2 linked regions of the Danio rerio genome follow. The protein of the gene in region 1 interacts with the protein of each later gene in a biochemical or structural test. Links are inferred from orthologs where the notes say so. Each region holds a gene or a part of one and is shown in the gene's direction. Other genes may lie near its edges. The genes, in order: fga and fam20cb.

The links.
Region 2: of the proteins of fga (region 1) and fam20cb, one has a biochemical effect on the other in vitro, tested with the Homo sapiens proteins (2 studies listed by IntAct). The link is inferred for Danio rerio from reciprocal best matches to the Homo sapiens genes FGA and FAM20C.

The regions. Positions count from the first base shown.
Region 1 is NC_133176.1:11,470,702-11,473,955, reverse strand, and holds the end of fga (fibrinogen alpha chain precursor), read left to right. Parts: intron 1-165; coding exon 166-311; intron 312-732; coding exon 733-1,591; intron 1,592-1,811; coding exon 1,812-2,509; 3' UTR 2,510-2,679; downstream 2,680-3,254. UniProt on the Homo sapiens protein: Cleaved by the protease thrombin to yield monomers which, together with fibrinogen beta (FGB) and fibrinogen gamma (FGG), polymerize to form an insoluble fibrin matrix. Fibrin has a major function in hemostasis as one of the primary components of blood clots.
Region 2 is NC_133187.1:19,965,418-19,969,248, forward strand, and holds part of fam20cb (extracellular serine/threonine protein kinase FAM20C), read left to right. Parts: intron 1-2,740; coding exon 2,741-2,999; 3' UTR 3,000-3,831. UniProt on the Homo sapiens protein: Golgi serine/threonine protein kinase that phosphorylates secretory pathway proteins within Ser-x-Glu/pSer motifs and plays a key role in biomineralization of bones and teeth.

The DNA.
Region 1 (3,254 bases):
AGTGTTTGTCAGCAACAAGGGAACGCAAAAACTTTAAATCTATATATATAAATTTTCCAACACTCTTTTTTTATCACATCCATTATTTTCCCCCACCATCACTTCCCTTCCGGGTCTCCGTAATTTGTAAAACACACTACAAATCCTCATTTTTCTTCTCCTCAGGTTATGATAACAGGTATATGTCTCTGGCCGAACAACTGAGGCAGAGGATTACTGATATCAAGATTAAAATTGACCGCCAACTTCGACTTCTGGACGCTCTGAAGTCGCAGGTCAAAGATCAAGTTGTTGTAATGCAGCGGCTTGAGGTGAGCAAAATATTTAAAGAAACATTTCACCATGAAGATGACAATTTACTTATTATTTATCCACCCGGGTTACGAGTTTCTTTCTTCTGTTGAACACAAACGATGAGACTTTGAAAAAAGCTGTAAACCTGAAACCATTCACATCTATATGAAAAACAAATACTATAGTCAATGGGTACAATTGTTTGTTTTTCATATGATAGATGTCAATGGTTTCAGGTATACAGCTTTCTTTAGTGTATCTTCTTTTGTGTTCAACAGTAGAAAGAAACTCAAACAGGTTTTGGTTGAACTATCATAAGTCTTAACCAAGTTTTAGCTAAAACGGAGTCTTGGTTTATGTGAAATTTGATCTCTACACTGATTTCTGGAAACAACGGCATCATTAAGTAAACTTTTCCAATATTATCTCCTACCACAGGTTGACATTGACATCAAACTACGCACATGCAAAGGCTCTTGTGCCAGCTACAGCGAGTTCTCGGTGGACAGGGAAAGCTATGTGACTTTGGACAAGCAAATGGACAATCTGAACGCCATGCGTGTACAGAGCGTGGAGACTGTCAGTTCCTTGGGAATCATGAAGAGCAGGCCGTTGAAGGATGTGTTGGTGCCCACCATTTATAAGAGCGGAACGGGCAAAGCTGAGCAGAAGCTGCTTTTTGGAGATGTAGGCCAGATGCAGCTCTCTCTGGAAGCTGAAGGCTCCACTGCCGAATCTGCCGCCACAGTTAGCAAGTTTCCCACATCAGGTACGGGCTCCACATCACAAACCTCCAGCAAGCAGTGCACCAAATCAGTTCGCAAAGTGATAACACACACCAAAGATGGCCCCGTGGAAAAGGTTGAAGTTTCGTCTAGCGGGCCCGGGTGTGATGATTTAGGAAAACTAGGAATTTCAGATTCAGAGTTTTTGACGGCAGCCAAAGATGGGAAAGATTTGAGTCGCGATGGCTTGAAAATAACAGTGACCGGCGGTGATGAAAAGTCCCTCACTTCTCTAAGCCACAGCACTTCTGATCTGGGTGGCTTCGGAGGAGACTTCTTTAAGAATCTTGGCACTGACAACCGAAAGTATGCCTCATCTTCATCCTCAACATCCACAAAGACAGTGTCAGATGGAAGCAAAAGTTACTCAAAGACCACCCTCACTAGCGACCCTATTTTTGGGGATGACCTCGGGGCGTTCATGCGGGGCGACGTGGAAGAAGATATGCCCGACATCCATGCACGCAGTGTGAAATCGCAAGACGATCGCAAGGCTGGCTTTGTTGGCGGAGGTACACTCGAGTGAAACTCTTAACACAAGTGAACCATTGATAAACATAATGATAACACTATTAACAAGAGTTTGTTGGAAACATGTGGACTAACTGATATCTAAGTAAATACCAATCCATCACATTTATTAATACTCACCAAGAAGCAATTGTTTGGATCTCTGGAATGAATTTGCAATGCAGTTTTGCTCTAATCGGCAGGTGTGTAATCTTCTTTCAGATTGCGTTGAAATCCAGCAGAAGCATGTGAACGGCGGTCAGAGCGGGATGTTCAAAATAAAACCAGCGGGGTCTGAGGAGGTAGTAGAGGTTTACTGTGACCAGAGCACTGGGTTGGGGGGATGGACTCTGGTTCAACAGCGGGAGGACGGGTCTGTTAACTTCAACCGCACTTGGAAGGAGTATCTAAATGGTTTCGGACAGATAGACAAGCAGGGTAAGGGCGAGATCTGGATTGGCAACAAATTCCTGCACCTTCTCACTCAGAAAGAAAGTCTTCTGAGGGTGGAGCTGCAGGACTGGACTGGAGCTGAGGCCTACGCTGAGTACAACATTAAAGTTGGCTCGGAGGCTGAAGGTTTCCCGCTGACTGCATCCGATTATGATGGGGATGCAGGAGATGCGTTAGTGAGAGGACATCCCAACCTTGGATCCTTCCTTTCACATGCTGGCATGAAGTTTAGCACCTTTGATAGGGACAGTGATAAGTGGGAGGAAAACTGTGCAGAGATGTATGGTGGAGGGTGGTGGTATAATAACTGCCAGTCAGCCAACCTCAATGGCATTTACTATAAAGGAGGCCAGTATGACCCGGCTACCAAAGTCCCCTATGAGATTGAGAATGGTGTCGTGTGGCTGCCTTTCAAACCAGCTGATTACTCCCTCAAAGTGGTGAGAATGAAGATCAGACCTGTCTGAAATGAAAACATAAAGAGGGGATTAGGGGAAAAAGGATGGATATCTGTTGTTTTGAATGAGCTGTATGATTAATATTCTGCTTGTGTTGAACGTAATACAATGATGATGCAACATACATTTTTACACAACCAGATTACCTCATGTTTCCAATAAAGATGTGTTCACTTTAAGTTCTGGAGTGTGTTTTTATTTAAAAAGGTCTGCTTTCAGAATCATTTTCTGGACGATCTACAGACAAGTTGTAACCACAAAAGCACAATGTGTTCAGATCATTTTGGTTTTCTTTAAGGGGATAGTTCACACAAAAAATTACAATTCTATCATCATTTACTCACCATTCATTTTTGAAAATCTTCTGTCGAACACAAAAAGAAGATTTTCTGAAGAGAGTTTTTATTATAGGAAATAGTATACATTTTTCATATGGAAGTCATTGGTTATTGGTGTTCAGCTTATTTTAGGTTCGACAAGAAAAAAAAACTCAGAAAGCCACTTGAGAGTGAATAGTGAGTATTTGGAGGGGGTGGTGAACTATCGCTTTAAGTTTTCAGTTGATAAAGCTCATTTTAGTCTTTCTCACAAAAATCCACCCCCTAAAATTGCACCATCAGGGGTTCAACAGCTTTTCACCAAAACCATCAATGCTTCATAATGAAACCTTAATAGTGCATAAAGGCCAAATATTTAAAACACTTTTTAGGGGTAGACACACTGAAAACAATGCAGGGTACCATACAATACAACT
Region 2 (3,831 bases), on another chromosome or scaffold:
ATTAATCTAATCCATACCTAATTCCTACCCCTAAACCCAACCCTAACAGTAAATTATTCCCAAATTCAGACAGGAATAATAGTTGTATAACAATCATGTGGAAGTACATAGTCCTAACTGTAAGCTTAAACCTAACATAAACTGTAAACTTGCACCTTAATTCTAATTAAAATGTTGTTCTCTAGATGTTGCTCCGAGAACATGTCCTACTTGGTGAAATCATTTTAACCATAATAAGACAATGACAGCACACAGCAATTAGTCTTGCTTGGCCTGAAATCAAACAAACCTTGTTGAAATCTGCTGTGTCTTCTATTGTTGTTTAAGAGGATGCCTAAAAACATGAGGACCCCACAAGTGCTTTCGCTTTCTCTGTGTTTATTTTCGGCTCAATAATATTTAGGATAAACTTTATTTGTCCCCAAGAGGAAATTTGTCTTGGGCAAAAAGGTGATACAACGTTGCTCTATTAAAATAAATAAAACACACAAAACAATTAAGAACACACATTGTTTACAAAATAAGAGCATATAAAAATATGAAATGTTTAAAGCACAGAACACAGTCAGGTGCTACGTGTATACTACTGGTGCGTTGTTCTAGGTAGAGTTCAACAGTTTTATCGAGGTAGGAACAAACGAAAGCTTTAATCTATTGGTTTTACACATTGGCATTCTCAGTCTTTTTCCTGATGGTAACAGCTGAAATTCACTGAAAAGAGGGTGTTTGGAATTAGCAAAATACTTATTGCTCTTCTCATGACTGCTTATTCATAAAGAGTCTGTTTGGGGCTTGTATTGTTTTATTCCTATGATTTATTTTTTTATATATGAACCAGTTTATTTTTCAATTGAACAGACAGATTTCCAAACCAGACTGTGATTTTATAGCAAATAATGAACTTGAGTTCACTAAAGACATAATATGTGAACAATGCAGATTGCTTTATTCTTTAAGCAGGAATGGTGTTGATCACAACATTCATTCATTCATTTTCTTGTTGGCTTAGTTCCTTTATTAATCCGGGGTCACCACGACAGAATGAACCGCCAACTTATCCAGCAAGTTTTTACGCAGTGGATGCCCTTCCAGCCGCAACCCATCTCTGGGAAACATCCACACACACATTCACACACACTCATTTACTACGGACAATTTAGCTTACCCAATTCACCTGTACCACATGTCTTTGGACTGTGGGGGAAACCGGAGGAAACCCACGCGAAGGCAGGGAGAACATGCAAACTCCACACAGAAACGCCGACTGAGCCGAGGTTCAAACCAGCGAGCTAGCGACCTTCTTGCTGTGAGGCAACAGCACTACCTACTGCGCCACTGCCTCGCCAATCAAAACATTCTTTTGTACATATTCTATCAAAGGAGTCTTGATCACGGTGACCCATAACAAACTGTACTTTACTGAAATGAACTGATCCTTACCACTCCATTATTCCTTGTACAGCACATTGTTTTGAATATGTGCCCTCTAGGCAAAACTTACATACTTAAAACCTTTGGCTCAGGTCAGGTCTTTACAATCCCCTGAGACCTTTGTTCATATTGGGAAAGCCAATTAAATTAAATAATATTTTAGATCTGAGAGCTCTCTTATCCACCATAGACATTAAGGCCATAGACTTCAAAGTCTAGAAAAGAAATCAAAAATTGTCAAAACAATTCATGTGAGTTTGGTGGTTCAACTGTTGGCCTAAACCAAGAACAGATTTGTGCACCAAACAACAACTTTGTTTATCAGTGCCGTTCACATCCTGTTAATTTAGGTAATACAACGATTTGAGAGTGAGCAGCGCAGGTCAACAGGCAAGCATCTTATTGGCCATATTAATCAAACTTCCTAACCTAATGCCAAAGAAGCATTGGTGAATAATGAGTTTACAGTCTTTTGCTGCACAAATGTGTTATTGGAGCTTCATACGATTATAGTTGAACCACAAAGTTTTTGATTGCTTTTCTGGACCCTTGCTATACAGTTGAAGTCAAAATTATTAGCCCCCCTTTAATTGTTTTTCTTTTTTAAATGTTTCCCAAATGATGTTTAACAGAGCAAGGACATTTTCACAGTATGTCTGATAAGGTTTTTTCTTCTGGGCAAAGTCTTATTTGTTTTATTTCGGCTAGAATAAAAACAGTTTTTTAATTTTTATAAAAACCTTTGATGATCAAAATTATTAGCCCTGTTAAGCTATATCTTTGTTTTTGATAGTCTACAGAACAAATCATCATTATACAATAACTTGCCTAATTACCTTAACCTGCCTAGTTAACCTGATTAACCTAGTTAAGCCTTTAAATGTCACTTTAAGCCGTATAGAAGTGTCTTGAAAAATATCTAGTCAAATATTATTTACTGTCATCATGGCAAAGATAAAATAAATCAGTTACTACAATCATTTATTAAAAGTATCATGTTTAGAAATGTGTTGAAAAAAATCTCTCCATTAAACAGAAATTGGGGAAAAAATAAACAGGGGGGGCTAACAATTCAGTGGGGCTAATAATTCTGACTTCAACTGTTATATGGACAGTCAGAATGCTCTCTGATTTCATCTAAAGTATTTTAATTTTAACAAAGAGCAAGAAGAATGAAGGTTTGAGGGGTCAACATGAAAGTGAGCAATTTTTTTGTTAAATTTATTTTAACTTATTTTAGGGGGTGAACTAGTCCTTTGGGTAAATAGCTCTTTTGTTTTGGTTACTAATTGTGATCTGTTTGCCTCAGAGTGAAGAAGTCCACTCATTTACGGCTTCAGCTTGTGGCTAAAGAAGAGTTTAAACTGAGCTCTCTGATGGAGGAAAGTCTCCAGACGGACACACTGTCACCCATCCTCATCAGGCCTCATCTTGAGGCTATGGACCGCCGGTTGCGTCTGGTGCTACAGGTATTGGCCGACTGCATTGAGAAGGAGGGCTACAGTAATGTAGTGGAGGACGACATGGGCACAGAGGGCATGGACACAGGCACAGTCCCGCAGAGGTAGTGGGCACAGGCGTACTCCTCTGAAGCTCCACAGCAGCTCTAGAGACCATAAACGTTCCGCAAGAGATGCTCTTGTTGATCAACTTTTCTGAATTCAGTGAATTCCTAAAACTCATTCCTCAACCAATGGACCATGTGGATAACTAAAGATACACAGTAAAGAAAGAGATGGTGTCCTACAGGCTTGTGTTCATTTGATCCAGAAATGCTGGAGTAATGTCAAAAAAGCTGGTCTTCATATGTAACAAGACAGTGTTATAAGAACAGTGGTTCTAAACTGGGGGATCCTCACTTAAAAGGGCATTGTTTCAATGCAGACAGCCAATCATAACTATTAGTATTTATTCATTTTCTTTTCAGCTCAGTCCCTTTATCAATCTGAGGGTCGCCACAGCGGAATGAACCGCCAACTTATCCAGCACATTTTACGCAGCGTATGCTCTTTCAGCTGCAACCATTCTCTGGGAAACACCCATACACACTTATTCACACTCAAAAACTACGGCCAATTTAGTTTATTTCATAGACCTGTAACGCATGTCTTTGGACTGTGGGGGAGCACCCCGAGGAAACCCACGCGAACGCAGGGAGAACATGCAAACTCCACACAGAAATGCCAACTCACCCAGCCGAGGCTCGAACCAGTGACCTTCTTGCTGTGTGGCGACAGCACTACCTACTGCATCACTGCGTCGCCCTCATATAAATTCTTATGAATAAATTAATCATATATATTAGAATTACATGTATTTGATGCTTTAATTCAAATAAAACAAATAAATGCAATGCAATGATAATAATGATGATGATGATGATGATTATGATAGTTACTG